Linked DNA regions of Lytechinus pictus. Each later gene encodes a partner of the first gene's protein in a complex. Links are inferred from orthologs where the notes say so. Each region holds a gene or a part of one and is shown on either strand. Other genes may lie near its edges.

Region 1 (10,604 bases):
AATCGCAACTCACGCAACCGTTACGGCTGTGTGGCCGCGCCGGAGCATTAAATAGACATAAAAGTGGTGCATTTAGCAGCAATCTAAGCTCGTCGATATTGATGTTTTCGATAGCTACCGCGATGTCCATTATGTTTTCGCGATGTTTTCGATAGCTACCGCGATGTCCCGAACCCTCCCCCCGTGCGTGCTACGCACGCACCGAGGCCGCTGCGCGGCTTGCGTCGCTTCGCGCCGCCAAGCGTCAGAATGAACCTGGCGAGAACGTTGCTTGTCCGAAAATAAAAATTTAAGTAACTAAGTAATTTCGGCATTATAATTATATTATTTCAATATTCAGACTTTTATAGAATACTCATCTAAACTGATTTTGCAAATTATACCTTAAATATTATTTGTTGATGGAAAAATGGGGTTTGAATAGAGTAAACAAAACCAACGTGTCTGATTGTATGAGACTATAAGGGAAAATATGAGAGGCTGCGTGTGAAAAATCGAATTTATTTATTTTATTCATCAGATATAACGCAAGAAATACAAATGTGAGTGTTTAGAGTATAAACATACATTTGAATGAAAATTAAGTTTAAGTAACCAAGGACAATCAAAATATGAAACTTGCTGCAAAAATGTCAAGTGGGTAAAGTAGCATTACAATAATAAAACATAGAAAAATATGTGAAATCTATTTAACGGGGAAAAATACTATTTACAGAAACAATGCTAAAATGACAATGATCATATACGTTTAAAGTTGATAACTTTATGGAAGTTTAAATAAAATAAGCTTCAATGATATAAGAAATGATATATGTTCAACATGAAGTTAAGGAGTCGAGACATCATTGCTTTAACATGACATATGGCCTACCCTACGATGAGCCTTTACTTTCGTATGGACTTTCCACAACCCTGTCTATCATAGGTACAATGAACTTAACTTTATTTGTAATGATTGTGATGGATTCATAAACTATAGACCTAATATTTTTAATTCAATTAGTTATTTTGTTACCGGCAGATTTTTTTTTTCATTCATCACCTTAACACCAATTCAACAATTTTCATTGATTGACATCAATATCAGCAAAAAATAATCATGATAAAGAAAATAGATTAAAAAGAAAGAAATGATTTAGCATGTTTAGTAACATCTCAGTTTTGTATCGTGTTTTATTTCATTTATTTATTTTTTTGCTGAACGTTATAAACACATGTTTTCTTTACGATACATATTTTTTCATAATATTTATTTAATGATAAAGCATGGGGGTCAGAGAGGTTGCTGCCCGTTTCGATATTTCAAGTTTGGTTTTTAAAAAATGGAAAGGGGATGGAGAAAGAGGGAGAAAATGTGAGGAAATAAAAAAAAAAGCATATTTAAAAAAATCATTTGGGCCTAGATTACCCCGGCTTATTATATTCACTCGCGTTCGTAATCACTCGCGTCGCGTTGGTAATCACACGCGTTTTTGATTTTTGGCGATTTTTTTTTATTTCGGTGCGATTTTTTCTAACGGTGTCTTCAATGGGACAAACGTACTGGAAAAATAAAATGAAATTGAAATTCGAGTTTCGTTTTTAAACCGGCAAGTGCCTTAAATAAGATGTAGGCCTACTCAACTACTGTTTTAACATAACAAACAAGCAAATCAGCCATGTGGCTCAAGTAAATTAGAATAGATCCGGACTTCTACTGTGTCTTATACGAGGACTCCGAGTCGGAACTTGCCATATCTGCCACATCGATATTACATCGTATCATTCCCATATGCGGACATGCCTGCATGCAATGGCCCCAAGGCGGCCGGACCCGGCCGCGGTCGGACACGACGTGCATCGGTAGCATGGAGCAAGCTAACGTGAGTGGAGCTGAGTTAGATCCCACGTTACATATGAGGCGCCGATTGTACCAATATCATATAGAACAATTATATGTTATATAATCATTATGTAACTATTATTTATATATAATTTACATTTTGTTTGAAAATAATTACTATCATATAAAATAACATTTCTAATTATCTATAATTCCAAGTAATACTTCATTATTTGTAAATAATAATAGTTCGACATTCCATTATTTATAAATAATGATTATTTGTTTTTCATTATTTATAAATAATGATTATTTGTTTTTCATTATTTATAAATAATGATTATTTGTTTTTCATTATTTATAAATAATGGTTATTTGTATATAAATAACGATTATTTGTATATAATGGCAAATTGTAAAAATCGTTTATAAATAATGATTATTTATAATTAATGGGATATTGAAACAAAATTGTTATTAATAAATAATGAAACACGATGAATTTTCATTATTTATAAATAGTGAGGTAGATATTTCATTATTTAACAAATAATCGTTATTTATAAATAATGGAAAACTCGAACATTAAATAATGATTATTTATAAATAATGAGAATAATGGCGCACTCAAAAAAAATATTTATAAATAATGAAGTAGATGTCTTCATTATTTAACAAATAATCATTATTTATAAATAATGGGAAACTCAACAAATTATTTATAAATAAAGAAATGTGGACTGGCATTGTTAATAAATAATTATTATTTACAAATAATAGAAAACTCGAAAAACTTATTTATAAATAATGGAAAAACGAATTGCAATTATTCATAAATAATGAAGTATGCAGTGTCAATATTTATAAATAATGAAACACAAAAATTATTATTTATAAATAATGAAAAACAAATAATCATTATTTATAAATAATGAAAAAAAATATTCATTATTTACAAATAATGAAAACAAATTATCAGTATTTATAAATAATGAAAAACAAATAATCATTATTTATAAATAATGAAAAACAATTAATCATTATTTATAAATAATGAAAAACAAATAATCATTATTTATAAATAATGAAAACAAATCATCATTATTTACAAATAATGAAGTATTACTTGGAATTATATATAAATAATTAGAAATTTTATTTTATATAATAGTAATTATTTTCAAATAAAATGTAAATTATATATAAATAATAGTTATTATATAATAAATTATGATTATATAACAAATAATTGTTTTATATAATATTGGTACAATCGGCGCCTCATATGTAACTCAACTCGACTCAACTAGCTTGCTCCATGCTACCGATGCACGTCGTGTCCGTACGCGGTCGGGTCCGGCCGCCTTGGGGCCATTGCATGCAGGCATGCATGTCCGCATATGGGAATGATACGATGTAATATCGATGTGGCAGATATGGCAAGTTCCGACTCGGAGTCCTCTATAAGACACAGTAGAAGTCCGGATCTATTCTAAGTTAGTTGAGCCACATGGCTGATTTGCTTGTTTGTTATGTTAAAACAGTAGTCGAGTAGGCCTACATCTTATTTAAGGCACTTGCTGGCTTAAAACGAAACTCGAATTTCAACTTCATTTTATTTCCCTGCATGTCTGTCCCATTGAAGACACCGTAAAAAAAAAACCGCACCGAAATAAAAAAAATCGCCAAAAAGTCAAAACGCGAGTGATTACGAACCCGCACGCGACGCGAGTGATTATAAACTGCCATTACCCCGGAGTTTTGAAATTGATGCCAGCAACGTGACTTGGCGCCATCCATGCCCCATCCAAGATAAAATGCATCTGAGTGCAATTGAATGACCCCCCAAAGTGTTTAAAGGTGATATGTCAGTGTGGCTTGCCGTAAACGCATTTTCTCTCAATGCCGACGGTGGCGGGCGGTGTCCAAAGAAGATCATGCCTACGTAGGACATGTCTGGAGGTGTCTTTCCAAGGACCATTCTTCGTATCGCCCAAATCGGCTTTGTGAAACAGTTGAGCGATATCTCGTTCTTACATAGAATGGATCTACGAAAGACCCTTTCATGCAACAGGCCCCTGGCCGGCTCTCGCCACTCTAACGTTAGAGCCAGGCCCAGGGACCGGATGAGGTCACTCACACGTATTGCGAGGTTAGTATTAGTATACTAACCTCGCAGTATCGCACCATGAACCGCGTTTGGCAGTGTATTTCTAACTAGTGGGTCGCGCGTGCTACGATCCCACTTCTGGTGTCCACAGCTTTTTTCAAATTCAAATTCAATTTGGTTTTATTCAACAATACTCATCAAAAAGTCCGAAGACTAACAATGTGAGTTTACATTAAAAAAAATACATAACAGAGAAATATATAAATACATAACATGCAGTGACCATTAAAGAAGAAAAAAAATATACATGTTTAAAATGCAATAATAGTATAAAAAGATATAGAATGAGCAGATGTAATAAGACAGATTTAATTTATATATTAAAAAAAGAGCAGATGAGGAGCAAGAAAGGGGAGCAAGAATGGCAAGAGTAAGCATGTGAAAAGGTGAGAATAGAAAGGGGGATGTAGCAAAAATAAAGGAAAGAGGGAAAAAAGGAAATTGAGGGAAAAAAACCCCACAAGTAAACAACAAATTGTAGATTACAAATATAAGAATTATGTGTAACAAAAAAAAAAGAAGGAAAGTGACATGATGGCGATTATAATAGACGAGAGAGTGGGAAAGAGCAACAGGGAGATAGAGGGAGAAGGAGAGAGAAAGACAGAAAGAGATATATAGAAAGGTCAGACAGAATCTGAAAGAAGGACATCATATCTAATCATAAGTTACATAAGTAAACAAAATATACATAGAAAAAAAACCACACGACTTCTATGGCTTGTTTTTTCTGTGCGCAGCGGCATGTAATGAACCCTTGAGTGGATGAGGTCGAGAATTGTGGTGGTAACCATCTGTTGTACATAAATTATAAAATCCTGATTTTTTGGTGAAAAAAGTTCAATGAAAGATCTGATCTCAACTCGTCTCGTCATCGTGAATGAGTGTAATCCGGGCTTGATCATTGATGATCCAAAGTTTTTTCCAAATTCCAGTCTTTTCTATGGTTAAAAAAGAAAATTGGGAATCCCGAAAATTGTATCCAGTCTGTCCAACGCAAGCCAAAAGGTAGTTTGAAAATCAGTAGATCGTAGCGCCGGTCCAAAAATTGGGATTGTCCCAGAAACAAGGTTATCCTCAGACCTCAAAAACCAAGACAACTCGTCATCGTGTCTTGATAAAATGAGATTGTCCTTGTCGGGGACAGTTTTTTTTCTTCACTTACCCCTGCGGGACATAGACGTCAATTACAGGGATATAGTGTGCTAGAAATAGATTCAGTGACCTCAATCCCCCAAGTTCATTGTCTATTCTTCATGACAATAATCTTGTTAATGTTATGAAACCGGATTGACTAGCACACTTGATTGGTGTCTGCACTTGACAGGTGAATGAACTGAATCAATCGGGTAATGAGATGAGGTACAGGTACGGAGTGTTTCCGTCTGAGGCACGAGCTGCACAAGATGTTCTTCAACTTCATTCATGATATGATTATGAATTTATGATGGTGAGATTATGTCACACATGCACTTACCCAATGTATAAGGATTACTGCCATAGGATTTCCATGTGAAACAATTAAACAATTGAATGAAGTTTGAAAAGCTACTTATGGATACTTATTAATATAGATGCTTCTGAAAAGCAGACTTCCACCTTCTCTTTATTCAGATCCAAATTCTTGTATTATTTTTTAGTCAAAATATATTATTGCACCTAAATATACTGTATATAGTTTATACCTTTATTTTTAAAAATAGTTTGCTTTAATGTTCGCTTAAAATATTTTTTTCATTAAAACAATATTTTTTATTTACATTGTAGGACAAAAGATCCCCAGTCACCAATAGAGCCTGGCATTGATGGTAGAAGAAGTAGAAATTAGAGTTATCTATTCGTTGAAAACTTGATTTACTTCAACATGGCAGGGTGTCTGGTTGAGCTGTACATCTGGTCAATGAAAGGTGCTATGGGAATCAAAGGTAAAATATGCTTTCAAATGAACATTAAAAAAGTAACATTGATAAAGAATATGAAAAAATGTAAAATATTTGAAAAAAATTAAAAGTTCTTAATTGATTGTAATAGAGATTAGAGTTTTATAAATGGTTGTTCTTGTTTTACTCCATTGTGTTTGTCAATTTATTCACTACTACAGAGATGCCAACCCTCCCGATTTCATCGGGAGGCTCCCGAAAATTCATCCCAACTCCCGCCCTTACGATTACCATCCTTATCCTCCCGAAATTACGATTTTTTTTTGCATTGATCAAATTGGATTGGAAGTACATGTATCGTCTGCTGACTTTAGCATGTAGTAACTCCATTACGTTTCGCTGCTACTAAATTCTGTGTGAAAGGCAGACAAATAAGGAGCAGCGAAAAGCTGGTGCATGTGATATGCCCAACGGGAATCCACTGTGCACCAGGCCGGTAGGCCTGGCTAGCTTCGCGAGGCGTGTGCGCTCGCGGCCGCTGGATTTGTCGAGTCGTGCGATGGAATATCGGTGTGTGATTTCGGCGTATTGATGGGTTGATATTGACACGAAATGGCGGAAAATCAACAAAAAAAGACCAAGAAATGGTCTCAGAAGTATAAGACTGAAAACAGTCTCCAGTACCCGTGTATTCGGAAAGAGGAATCTACCATGCATTTTGCACAATTTGCAGCGTGGACATTAAAGTTGAGCACGGAGGTCGTGATGATATTCGGAAGCACGTAGGGAGCAAACGGCATACGGACATTGCGAAGACGAGATCTTCGAGCTCCACTAGTACCCTGTTGACTTATTTCACCAAGCAAGGGACCAGCGAGGAGGAAGACGTTACCCGCGCTTTAATAATAATAAAGAGGATAATTCCTTATTATTATAGTTGAACAGGTACTTTTCTTCTATTGTCCCCTCATTTTTTTTACATACGCATATTTGATATTTTTATTTTTATGTCAAAAAAGTGGGAACAATGTTTTTTTAAAAACATGTGAAATGCTCCAAAATAAGGGTCAGATTGCACCAGAGAGCATCTAGAAACCCAGAGCTTCCAGGGCCCTAAGGCGGGCCCTCGACCCCGGCCGCAAGGGTCGAGCGCTCCGCGCTCGAGATGTGCGCTATGCGCACATAATTTGGTGTCGGTTGCAAATCCTCCCTAATTCTGATTTCCAAAAGTTGGCATCTCTGCTAGTATAATAACAATAAAAATATAATAATGATACTACTACTACTACTGCTGCTGCTGCTACTAGTACTACTACTACTAATAATAATAATAGTAATAATAAAAAAATAATGATAATACTATACAGTAACTAATACCCGATAAAGTTGTCAACTTTAATTCTTCCCTTAATTGTTTGACAAGTGAAGATGAATTGAGATGTTATGATGCTTTAAGCATAGAGTGAAAGTTGTAAATCTGTCTGTTGCATCATGAAAGTAATATCTGTTTTGATAGGTGTCTAATTTTATTTTACTATTAATGCCCCTGTTACGTGATATGATAATATATATTTCTTGGCATAACTCATTGAACCAAGATGATATGATAATTAATCCAAACATGGAAATGCACATTGATAAAGTGCTTTTGCATAGTTCATCATTCTATCATCTGTTGTGATAATTTCATATAAAATTTAGATGGAAACATTGGATGCCATAGCTACTATGACAAAGGAGACATGGGTAAGACATAAAGTTTAATAGTTTAATAATTGATAATTAATGATTGGTTAATAAATGATGATATTAACCATAACTGCTGAAGTAATGTATTATTTGTTATACATGTATGACTCTACCTACAGTATATGGTTGCTGGAGGCTTGTTTTTGGTTGTCTATCCATCTGTCTGTTCTGTTGTATGTTCTCTTGAAGTAAAGAACCATTTTAGAAGTTGATTCTACTGTTTTTAATTTTGAGTATTTGAAGATTTAATAAATCCTAATTGCTAACTTAAGTAATATTTTTGTTTATGATCACCCACAACACATGTAGATGGTTGCTAGTGGCATGATTGGGGCCATCGGTATATCCATCCTGTTTATGTTCTCTTGAAACTAAAGAACTAAAGAGGGATTAATTTCAATGTTTTATTGTTTGATAATGATTTATGAAATATCAACCATATCCCAAACAATATCTTTTAATGACTCTGCCCACAGTGGATGGTTTCAGGTCATCCATCTATCTATCCTTTTTTACGTTCTTTCGATAATGAAAGAACCACCCAAGGGGTTAATTTCAAACTTGGTTTATGTATGCATTATTGGAGTGACTCCATTAGAGTCATGTGATAAAAATAATAATTTTGATTTATGAATATTATGATAACAGTTTATTGAAATTATGATTAAAGTAATAGTATCCCTGGAACACTATTTCACTAACTGTTACTTCATTTGATTGAATTTCTTATATTTAGTTAACACTGGATATATGGATCAGAAGCAGCAGTATTTTGAAAGTAAGTATTGGTTCAGCACAATTGAACATACAAATTTCATTTTCGAAATGATATAAAAAATACTGAAATAATATTTCATTAACAGATAATGATAATAATAATACATATGATTTATATAGCGTCTTTTCCATTTTGATTAAATGCTCAAGATTTCAATGTTGAAAACCTGAAAGGACGACTGTCCTATAATTAGGTCAGTAATACACTGTGGAATCCTATAATAGACTGCTCAGCTGTAGATCAGTCTTGATACATATACCTGTTGATAAAACAAAAACATTGTGAAGTTTGATTCAAATTGCTGGTATGATGGCCATTATCAGAAAATGAGAATATTTAGAAGTTAGCCGAGATCCTTTTGTTCCTTAGCATTCACAAATGTCTGTTTTGAGTTTTTATCATCAATATATGATTCTTGTGTTTATCTAATCATTCAATGTTGTAGGTCGAGATCAAGTTTGGACACCAAAGAACAGAAGGCCGGATAAACTTAGGGATCTTCTTAAAGAAGCGGAGGTAGGCTGATGTTCATTTATTTCTATGGATTCCATTTCCATTTTGTGTATTTGATGCTCGATATTTTATTATGTAATAATTAAAAATGTCATGTGTTGTTTATTATTGAGTACTGACGTGGTGAAATCACAGAAAAACTTTTTTGTATTTCCGCGTTTTTGATACCATATTTTGGTAGAGCATGAAGAAAAACCCCCACAACCTAAATTTTGAGGGAATTGGTTTAGAGGGCCTTAGAGATGACCTAATGAATACATAATTTGTCCCATTAAAGTCAATGTACATGTATTATTTGCCTGGTTCCTGACATTTAGAACCAGCCCAATAACATTGACTTCAATGGGGGGCTAATTATGTATTCATGAGGTCATATCTTGGATCCCCATGGACCGAATCCCACCAAATTTGGGTTGTTGGGGTTTTTATCATGCTCTATCAAAATATGGTATAAAAAAATGCTGACATGCAAAAATGGAAAAATTTATGACGTCACACTTTGGTACTCTATAGCCAGATGATGTCACTGCGGACTAGTATTACAGGGCTTTGTACATGTATATTTGTTATCACTATTACACTTCCCATGGATGGTAATATCATTTGACTATATTTTTCTGCAAAGTGTAATGTATATTCTTTATATTGTGTTATTTAACCAATGAATCTTAAGATTTTGAAAAATACTATATCATAATGTATGATTCAAGTGGAGATCCAAATTATGTAGATATATTCCATAGCATTCCTAATGAATTTGTCTCCATTAAAGATAATTTTGTCATAACTCTGTGCAGAGAAAGACAAATATATTCAAGGTCAAAGAAAGATCATAAAATAGATCTTAGAATTTTGAGTAAAATTAGAGATTAATCCCTCATATGAAGATTGTCTTTTAATCATATTTGTTCAACAATACTGTACTCCTAAACTACACAATTATTGCCAATTATCTATTTGTATTTGTTCTTAAATTTTAAAAGGAATTACTTGCTAGTTAAATTGCAGATGACAATTATTTTCTTTGTATTTCTTGTTGGTGTTGAAAAGGAATTACTTGCCAGTCATGAAATAGTTGCTACACTATGGAGATCCCAGAAGAATGTCCAGCTCCTTTTGAGTAACTGTGTGTTGCTTTCTATACAAATAGCCAGTCACAGTGGGGATATTGATAGACTGGTCATTGATAAGAGTCTTCAAGGAAAGGTTCCTCCTTCTATCACGCACGGTAAGTTTGATCATGGTATATTTTCGAAGACACCCTTAACTTCATTGTATTAATTATGATAAATTGCCCCTTGGTTTACATCCACTTTGTCTATTTGCCTATTTTCCTTTTGGTTTCATCCCACATGGTGTAATCTCATTGGCCCGTATTCTGAAGTCGGGTTTAAATTAAACCCTGGTTTAAAGTTGTGGTTTAACTATGGAGAGCCAATTGGGGCACAAATCCCCAATAGTACACATTCAATTCTTTAACTCATATGACACCCAAATTGTCCATAATTGTCTGGGAATGATAACTGAAGTATTTTCTTCATTATGAAACAAAAGGAAACAAAACAGTAAACATAAAAAATATACAATATAAACTTTTATTTGTATTTTTGGCTCCCCATAATTTTAGTACAGAGTTAGACCTTTGTCTAAGTTAAACATGACTTCAGAATACGGGCCATTTTGTCCACACCT
Region 2 (10,604 bases), on another chromosome or scaffold:
CCTCCCCCCCCCCCCGACCAAATCTGTGAATTGCAGATTGGTCTCACCCCACTTAATTCTATTTTGTCGACAACCAGACTGTCTTATCATTATTTTGTCTAACTGTTATTTAGTCCATTCACCAATGTGTCTAATATTCGGTGACTATACCCATTTCTTATGAATCGACTTGGTCTTACAACAAGAGATTAATTGTTCATTAACCAAATATCAATTTAATAAAGAAAAAAAATAAGTAGAGAAAGTTGAAATTAGAGCTGGGTATTTGACTACATGAGAATTAGACTAAGTGATTCATTGATTAGTGTAGACCACACAGCAGGGAGACCAGATGGACTTAGCCCATATTTTAGAATATATGAGAAGCCAACCAACTGCTAGTAGACCAAATGAATATAAACCCCAAAACAATATCACCACAAAACACCTAAATTTTCACACAGATTAGGCTAACAAATTAATTCTACAATCACACAAACAAAACCAAAGTCTCAAACCGACTGATGGTATGTTGTTGGAAATAAGATGATAGATCCGGATGGTATGCATATGGAGTTGTTTAGCAAGTGCAGCTGAGACATAACATATTGACAAAACAGGCTTCCTGGAAAGAGTTAAGACCATATATGTGTGTAATTACCCCAAGATCCCAGCATCAAGAGGGATTGTTCTTGGAATGTTGGATGGGGGCGCCCTTTGGATTGCCCGGAGAGCTTCGTGGTGCGACCTCCACGATGGCTCGATGAGTTGTTCCTCTGCTTCGGATAGGGTAGGGTTCGCGTAGCACAGCACACTAACTACAACACCAGGTAAGAGGTGGATGCTCAACAGTCTATGAGGATCCTGAAACATATCAAAAACAGAATTGCTCAATCTATGTCACACAAAATGTTTGTATAAAAAAAAAATGTTTAGATCTCATATGGGGCCCAGTCCTCTGATATCAGGCAAATAGGACAGGGTTCACACTTGGCTATGACACTAGTCCTCCATATCCTCTTTTGTTTCTTCATCTCCTCCTTCTGCTACTTCTCCTCTCCTTGTCCTTCTCTAGACACCCCTTCCTCCTCCCTTCTTCTCCTACTCTTCCTCCTACCTTTCTGCATTCACTCCATCACTCCTCACTTCATTCATCTCTTCATCCTTTCTTCCCTCCAGCATTCCTTCCTTCCATCAACCTTGCATCAATCCTTCCATTCTTCCTTTTCTTCATCCCTTCCTTCCTCATTTTCATCCTTTTTCTTCCCCTTCTTATTTCTGTCTGTCGTAATTCCATCCTTCTATTTTTTTTTCACTGTTGTCCTTTCTCTCTCCCCTCCTCAACCTTACTTCCCCTTCTTCCTGTCTACCCTTCATCTTCCTCACTCTCCATTTCCTTTTCTTCTTCTAACAGTTCTTTCAACTTGCCATTATCATTAAGCTTTGATATAAAATGAAGCCTAATTGGACACTTTCACACAATCTTTTTTTTTTTAATGGCTTACCTTAGGGCTAGCGTGAGGCAGATAGATGGGAACATCACTGGATGTCCCAACGGGCAGAGACTGGATGAATTTGGCCACTAGCATCATCTCTTGACCACTGAGTGACCACCAGTTGGACGTAGCAACGACCAGCTTGCCATCAGCATGAAGACAACCGAATGTACTATCTGCACTGGTGACAAAGGCCTCCAAAGGATCCTTGTTAGAAAAAAATAGTAACAAACAAGCAAAAAATTAAATTCCTCATTTTTACCCTAATAAGAAAAAATAGTTAGGGAGAAGTGCTCCTACATTTCTGTACTGACTTACATGTATGTGTGAAAATCTGATTGACACATCATTCATACATGAGTGAACATACATTAAAAGCAAAATGTGTTTTCAAAAGTCACAGGAAATAATTTCTTATTCCAAAATAAAAGTGAATAATACAATTTTTTCCTTTATCTATATGTGTGTAGTTAACCATGACATGGCTAGAATGTCTTACATGAATATTCATAAAACATTTGAAGTAACATGAAATGATCCATAGAAATATCCATCTTCCATATTTTATCCATAAATTTAACAGATTAACAATTAATTTTTGTAGAAAGAATGAGCATTTTTTTTAATGTGTTCACTTATTAAACTGGTAAAAATGAAAAAGGGTAAATTGATTGATCATTATTATTAACAGAACATAATCATATACCAATAATATAATTTTTCCAATTTCCCTATCACAAATGACCCAAGTAACCGTTGTGGCTTTTGAAATGCCCCACTGTTGACATTTATCTAAACATTTGTTCACGTATCCATCTTAGGTACTGCATTTCCTTTCCCCTTTTTATTGATCCCATTTCTATTTTTCATTTCCTCGACCCCTCTTGGGGCTTGCAATCCCTGTGGGGGGAGGCGGTTAGTTCATCTGCCCTCCACCTCCCCCCCCCCCAAAGAAATAACATAATTGATCAAAGCTTTACCAGTAACGTAGTATTCTCTGGTGAGATAAGGACATCTACTGATGAAGTCAGAGCTCCAAACATGTCAGACTCCTGAAGAAGTACATCGATAACAGGATAGCATACCTGATATAAAGACAATTTCCAGAATTTGGGTGAACATGAGAGGACTATTAAACTTATTACAGAGTGGTTACGATCAAAACTCTGTTCAGGGGCCACCATTCTATAGCAGCCACCTGCCTATAGCGACCACTAAAACGGATTCCCATGGAGGCAGATTGCGTGGATAAAAACCTCTCTATAGCAGCCATCTCCCTATAGTGACCAGTAAAACCAATTCCCATGGAGGCAAAATGAATGTATATGTCTATGGCAGCCACCTGTCTATAATGCCACTAAAGCTTATTCCCACTGAGGCAATTTATGTGTATAAGAAATTGTTTTTAAGCAGCCACTTGTTGTCTTTAAAGGCCAGTTGTTTGTTTTTGTTTTTTCTATTTTTTTTTTTTTGGGGGGGGGGGTTCCTTTCAGTAGACATTATATGCAGGTTACACTATACTCAAACTTTTTATAAAAGTTCAGGTGTTGAAAGATGCTCAAACATGCCAATCAATGATGACATAGTTACCCGCTTGAAGCAAAAAAAATTGTTTGCTGTGACACAAAAGCATACATGAAGTGTTCGCTCAGTTGGTTATTTTTTGTACTTGCAATTATCAAGATTAAAAAGTTATCAAAATAACCTTAATACTTGACAAAATCCTGCCGAGTCATTTGGACAGAACACATAAATAAATGTACGGGACTACATGCACACTGTGAGCCGACTGTTTTACCTGTGAGGGCACTTGAGAGGGCACTTGTTGAGCAATCCTTTAAAGAAGAGCATGATGTATCCTGAATAAACTGTTCAACTTAAAATTTCATGAAAAGAATTTGAAAGCTAGCTGAAATATCATTTTTAAGACTCACCTTTATTTCTCGGCGGAGTTTTTCTACATTCCTGATACTCACAAGGGTATCCAGCCCTATGAACATAACCTGCAGCCGAAAGAAAGGACAAATGATATGAGATAACATGGATGTTTGTAAGTATTATCATCATATCTGAATGGGTCCATTAAGACAGAATATCTCCTTTAAGACAAAAAGATATTCCTGTAGAATCCTAATTATTACAAGGGTATACAGCCCTACGAACATAACCTGAAACAACCATTTTTTTTACAACCATATATAAGTAATTACCGACGCATGGCAAATTTACCAGATGCATGGCTGGTCATGCGTCGGTAATTCCATATGCATGTTGCCATTCTATAATAAACCCTATGTGGATGTCACCAGGTGAACTACAAGCAGTAGTACTTACCATTGAATGAAATATGTGGTTGAGAAGTGTATTGTAATGTACATCACAGCTTCCATCGTTGCTGGTCACCAAAACCAAGGTTACACTGTAGAATGAACAAGAAAATTAATTAATAATCGCGGCTGCCACCGACGTACTGCATTGCATCATCGACAGGATATCGGTAATGCCTTCACTGGCAAAACATACTGTAATATGCAAGTGCAACAGAAGGGATAACCATGTCCTAGAAGTTGCGTTGCAAATCTCAAATTGCCTTATAACAATTGCAGTGTAGACATCAATGTGTCGACGCAAGAACTTTTAATATGGTGTTAAAAATCGTTTTGAAAAAATACATTAATATAAAGGAGAAAGAGTAAAATATATATATATATATATATATACACATACTCCATGAATATGCCTTGCTAGTTGCTACAGTTCATAAAAGACCTAATTTTGCAACATAAAAAACCTAATTTTGCAACATAAGGAACACAATTTATAAGGAAAATCTATAAAATATATTATTTTAAAAGTCAATTGATTTACTTTTGTTCATTACATAAACATATTGTGTATATACATGTAAGTAGTAAACCCAATAAAATGGGACCACAAAACTATAAAGGTCATAACTTTCGTTTCCCTTGAATAGTTTTCCAGATTAAAATGTTTATAATAGTGGCGTATTCATGAAGACAACCTGGGGGGTGCTTCAAAAAGAGTTGCACTTAAATGCCTAGTTGCATTCGGTATATACATGTACGCTGTAAAGCATGACCGCAATAGTCAGAGGATGCGCACTATAGCATATTGATGTATAAGATTGCCATGTTGCATACCATGTATGTGTCAGCATTTAATTGCAACTCTAATTCATACTTAAATCTTTGTGAAACACCCCTGCTCTTTAAGGCCTAGGTTGGGTGGTCTTTATGTATAGGTTTCACTGTATTTGACCTTTGACCTCAATGGTCAATGTAGCTACCTGTCATGGAACACCTGCCAGATGACCTTGGCCTCTTCAGTGGTTGTACTTTCCAGCTTTACCCCATGGTTCTGGGCAAACATCTGAACGCCGTAGAGCATGCCTTGTTCAGCAAAAGCAAGCTGTTCAATGTAGAGAAAAAAGAATAACACTGATAAGACATTTTCAAGATTGAATCATTGGATTCTGAATGCCATCAAAGATAGGAATACTAACTTAATGGATGATTTCATTTTTGTTGGTGATACATGTAGTTGGATATTAACACCATTCAAAGCTTTTAAGACTGGAGTTGCAATGGTCAATGGACTTCTTCAAAGAGCTGTCTATTTTAATATTAGGAAACATGAGTCAAAGGAAACAGAATCCGAGAGTCAGGTCAGTGAGGAAACTGAACACTCAGGAGTTTAGATATTTGTTCCAGGCATCCATTTAATACTGATGCCATTCCAAAACCAATAACAAATGAATCTTGAATAAACATGTTGCAAATTTAAGCTGAAGGAAATATCCTGGTACTTGAAAAAAATGTCCAAGAAAAGACTGATATCTGATCTCCTGAAGAAGAAGTCAACATCATAGAAGATATCTGTACAATTCATCGAAAATTGAAGGATGTAGAGCAGTACTTTAGCAGGAATTTTTTCTGTGACTATACAGAATCAAAGAGTGGCCACAGGAGGCCACAGATGCAATGTCACTCAACCTGGGGAATAATTATTTTCAATTAAATTAATCATAAACCACATGACATTGATTGTAATCGTGTAGGGTCCTCCAAATCAACATGTAAATGACTGAAAATTGCTCCCACCAAGAGAGTGAAATCATTGTGTTTACAACCTTATGATTAAGAATACTGCACGGAGTCTCCGCTGAGAGTGTGGTCTGATATGCACAGACGATGTCAGGATTCTGTGTTTCACGATAGACCTTCATCAATATAATCGAGGTAAGTGCATAATTTATTTTTTCCCCTTTTATTTTGAGTGCTATTGCAACCCCATTCTACCCCATTTCGGAGAGCATATGTCCGCCTAGTATTAGACGGATCGGACGAGTCCTGGGCTCCGCGGGCCGGTGCTCCCTGGGTTTCTGCTCAAATCATTGAATTTGAATGAGTGAGCCAAGTAAACTTCACATGACTTCATGAATTAAAAACCTAAAAAAATACTCATCATATTTTCTTTCTTGACTTCACTTTGATTTATGAATGGCAGAATGCTTGTCGATCTCCGCATTTACTTTCAAACTTTCACCATTACCGGTATGCCTATGGGCTGGCATTAATAATTTATTTTTCTCCATCTTTCTGCTTTTATTAAAACCAATGCAATGACTCCTCGAAGAGAAATTTCCCTGCTTTTACTATCTATTATATATTGTTGATGTTGTCCTTTGTTTTGGGCCTATTCCAATGCCACGTCCTAGCTTTATTTTAGCTAGTCTTCTCACTCAGTCTCAGATCATGATCACACAGTCACAGTAACCAATTAAAAATCATTGACTTGGGACACACGAAAATTAAGGAGTGGGACCGAAGCCAAATACAAATACTGTACGACAAGGCTCAAACTAACATTCTTTGGTAAAATTCATATCTGTGGAAAAATCTTACGGATTTTACATCTCCTTTGGTTCGTGTAAAAAGTGGAACTCCTCCTTCGTTTGTAAGACACACCAAATGCACTGCCATGGTAGATATACGTCTTGTGAACCAAAATGTTGATAAAATTCGTCTGCGCTGCGTCAAAAAAAAATCTGTCATACACTTGACCGGTGGTATGGTGTCTTTAAACTAGAAAAAAAAAATCACATTTACTATCCCCGGTTTCCTCGTGAATAGGCCGAGGGACATAAATGCTTATATTTTGGCACAATCAGATTCTCCTTCACTCATTCATGCCTTTATCTAATATCATACTGAATATTATTATTTTTCATTCAATTTATTGAGATATTGGATCTCCAGAAAAGTGACATTTGACCCAAATGAAAGTTTTGCCTGCCCATGTTCAAATGCTGTATACAGTGCCGTTAAAAGTGTTCAGAATTCTTCATTATAAGCCATCGAGAGGCAAATAAATTATTAGCTTTAAATGCCTACATCCAAAGTATTATCCAAGGTATTAATAGAAAGATATTTCTTTTATATTCCATCAGTTATACCCACAATTATAGAGGACCTCACAAATATAATAAAAATTATGCCTATTTTTGAGCGCTCGCTCTGGTGAATGACAAAAAATAATCTCCAAGATTTAATGAAAAACATACCATAAATGATTGTAATTTCTGTTTACAAATACAAAATTTTAAAGACATGTTTGGTGTGTGGGTGTGTGTGCATGTGTTATTGTTGCATATGCAGTTATCATACAGATGGTACTAGTATAGCTGCAGAGTGGAAGTGACACACACATATAGGCTTATGTTAAACTTATGTAGATATGTACAAGAATGAAAATGTCATGTATATATAAAAACGGAATCTACTAAAACGATTTATGAGAAATATTTGGGAGATGCCTAAAGGAATTATGTTACTAACTGATCGGAACATCACAAATATTAATGTTAATATTATTATTAATGATAATAATAACAAATAATAATAACAATAATATTAATAATAATAACAATGATAATAATGATAATAATAATAATAATAATAATAATAATAATGATAATAATGATAATATTAATAATAATGATAATAATAATAATAACAATAATAATAAGAATGACAATATTAAAAGCTCTATATAGCACATATCACGTTTTGATTATAATTAACGTCTCTATAATTATGCGCCTCCAACTGAGGAATCGTATAATGTAAGTTATAAATTAATCCAGAAGATAATACGACCAAATAATATTTTCAGAATAATCATGAGAATTATCACAAATATATCACACACAATAAAATTATGATAAAGATACATTGTAAAAACTGTGGTGTTAAAACCGGCACCAGTTGGTGTTAATAGAGGACCACAATCTGAGGTGTTAAATTACACCCTAGAGATTGAACATAAACACCAAAGAGTGCAAATGTAACAACCATAGGTGTGGGGTAATAACACCTATAGGTGTTAAACTAACACTGTCAATTTATAACACCGGTGTAAAATAACTGATGTGGTCCTCTGTGTACACCGGTTAACACCACAGTTTTTGCAGTATATACAAAGGGAATCGGGAAAAGCGTATGGAGAATAAAAGGAACAAAAAAAAGAAGGATGAAATAAGAAAAATATAAAGGCAGATAGAAGTCAGAGAAAGAGAGAGAGATAAAATATGATACTTGCGAAATAAAAACTGAAAATGGAAAAATTTATCTTACATGCGTCTACCAGCATAATTTTTATTGTCGTTTAAAATTGATATTGTTAAGTCCGGCAAATTTGTTGATAGGTTCAGGTGACAATATTCACAAAGGCATTAAATTACCCTCCAATTCAATCAAAATACTAGACGAATCGTTTTCACTGGCGTGTATGAACATTTTGGTGACTTTCTTTGTTTTATTTTAAATCTTGCTATCCACATCATTTCGAATATTTTGCCGTTTTAAGTATCTTTTCCCGTTGGCAATGGTTGGGTGTGACTGACCTATGCAGGGGCCGCGGAAGCGTGTACAAAAACGTAAAAATGACCATAGGATTGTGATTTTTTGCATGGTCAGCCCCCCCCCCACACTTTTGGCTCAGCCCCCCACTTTGAAAACCGTTTCGCGGCCCCTGCTATAAACCCGAGATTGAACGAGTGAAAGATGAATTACTACATAAAATGCGATTATAAAGCAAAATTTAGGGAATTGATTCTTTAGGTCCGCTTTGTTCACATATATAATTTCTCTTTCTTTATTTTATTGGGGAAAAAATAGAATACAAAGTATTCATTACATGCTGGCTGATTCGAGGATCAGGCTTTTGTTGTACAAAGCCAGTTTAATGATGTATAGGCCTACATAATATAAAATTTAAAAAGGCAACATACAGATCGAATTTCAAGGGCAACCTCAAAAGAGATGGCCTCCATAGTTTCTATTACCCTAAGATATACTGGTATGAAACAAGATGAAAATGAAGTAAAGTCTATGCTGATATCATGTATTTAAAAAAAAACATTGCCACGACTAAATCTGGTCGCGCAATTTGTATCTTTGTATCAGCATAAATATATGCTAAGGGTAAAACCATTTTAACCAGGGGGGACCGAAGATTATTTTGATGGAGGAGGGGGCAAGTCGACATGAAGATGACATACTTTTTGTTCTCAATTGAATAATACGTACTTAGTGCATGATGCTGAAAAGTTAGCGAACCCCACCTGAAAATGAACATATTTCAAGTGTTTGTATAAGTTCTGACATGTTGATATTTAATTGTGAAGTCAGTAATTGACATATTACTTTCAATAAAGCTTGTTTCTCTGGGCTCGCCAAACATTGTTGTGTTGTTGTCTACATTCAACACTCAGCATATAAAGGAATGCATTTTCTGGTGGGGGTCACTAACTTTTTAGCACCACTGTATTATGACATGAAAATTAGGAGGGGGTAAGAGCCCAACTTATGACGCCGCCCCTGATTATAACAGTTGAATGACAAGAATTTCTCACATAGTGATTTTAATACCGGTCTGCACATGTGCATGGTGTGTGGGCCCATAGAATTACAGTTCCTATTATATATTTTCTGAACAGGAAACAACTTCGACAACTATAGGTCCCCAATTATATAGGTCCCAAATACCTTAGCGTTGTAGGACAGGGGTGTGAATAGTTACCCCCACTTGAATCCCAGTCCCCTGACTAAGTATGGGTGTTAAATTCGCATTTTGCTATGTCTTTAAAAAAAAATATATCAATATAATTATGCAATCATTATTGTCACACGATTATGGGAACCAGTATACTAAACCTGCATGGAATAAAGGAGATAAACGGGCAAACATCACTGATATTTGAAAAACTATATGATCCAAACAAGGCCAGGGACCGCGGCAGGGGTTTTAAAAGTTGGGGGGCTGGGCCGAAAATGGGGGAGGGAGGTGGCTAACCTATGAAACAAGCACAATCAGATTTACTTATGGGATTTTCTTCACGTTTATTGAAAAAGTGGGAAGGCTACACCCCCACCCCGTGGTTCATCGGCCCCTGTAAACACTTATTATGATCAATGGAAACAGATATCAAATGAAAAACTATCGAGCTTAAAACTAATGAATGAAAAAAAGGAGAACAAAAACGTTATTTTGTTTTAATCATCATGACCCTTAATGGAAAGGACTTGAACGAAATCCCATTATCATGATTAGAACTATAATACTGTATGCCTCGAGTCCATTTAGAAGTTTCCACATGAGCAGCTTTTTAGGTTTGACGAATCAAACGCATACGTGCTCTCTGACACGTACCGTTTGATTAGGCCCCCAGTTTATAGCTTTTAAGCTTTTAGGCTAATCGAAACAACTATTTTAAAAAATAACCCAATAGCGTGGATCTCACATCTCCAACAATTAAGTGTAATCATATGCTTAATACTCAATTGTAAAAAAAAAGAATAGAGAGAAAAAAATAAACGCTTCTTCGTTGACTAAGGGCAAAAATTAGTCTCACGACGTGTGAGTTTCAGAACGTTAGTTTCTTATTAATCATGTTATGTTTATTTTGCTAAATATAAATACAAGCATGTGACGATGGCCAGCTTTGCATTTTCAGTTTAAATATAAAGGTATATTCAAAACATTCGTGTATGTAATATAAAGGTATATTCAAAACATTCGTGTATGTAATACATACACGAATGTTTT

What was found. The genes of interacting proteins can lie anywhere in the genome.
Region 2: the proteins of WD repeat-containing and planar cell polarity effector protein fritz homolog (region 1) and protein fuzzy homolog are in contact, whole or in part, in a cryo-EM structure (PDB 7Q3D), measured with the Homo sapiens proteins. The link is inferred for Lytechinus pictus from reciprocal best matches to the Homo sapiens genes WDPCP and FUZ. Residues at the interface, in NP_056994.3 of Homo sapiens: Arg55, Ile57, Asn75, Lys78, Leu82, Glu418, Asp419, Arg420, Leu421; in NP_079405.2 of Homo sapiens: His293, Glu372, Glu373, Pro374, Arg379, Gln397, Pro399, Thr400, His401, Gly402, Ser405, Leu406.

The regions. Positions count from the first base shown.
Region 1 is NC_087251.1:37,386,028-37,396,631, reverse strand, and holds the start of WD repeat-containing and planar cell polarity effector protein fritz homolog, read left to right. Parts: upstream 1-5,834; 5' UTR 5,835-5,856; coding exon 5,857-5,917; intron 5,918-7,573; coding exon 7,574-7,618; intron 7,619-8,357; coding exon 8,358-8,399; intron 8,400-8,844; coding exon 8,845-8,915; intron 8,916-9,962; coding exon 9,963-10,140; intron 10,141-10,604. UniProt on the Homo sapiens protein: Probable effector of the planar cell polarity signaling pathway which regulates the septin cytoskeleton in both ciliogenesis and collective cell movements.
Region 2 is NC_087260.1:17,862,622-17,873,225, forward strand, and holds the start of protein fuzzy homolog, read right to left. Parts: upstream 6,609-10,604; 5' UTR 6,551-6,608; coding exon 6,401-6,550; exon of another isoform or gene 6,363-6,400; intron 4,905-6,362; coding exon 4,783-4,904; intron 3,895-4,782; coding exon 3,810-3,894; intron 3,479-3,809; coding exon 3,410-3,478; intron 2,561-3,409; coding exon 2,456-2,560; intron 1,683-2,455; coding exon 1,485-1,682; intron 844-1,484; coding exon 641-843; intron 1-640. UniProt on the Homo sapiens protein: Probable planar cell polarity effector involved in cilium biogenesis. May regulate protein and membrane transport to the cilium.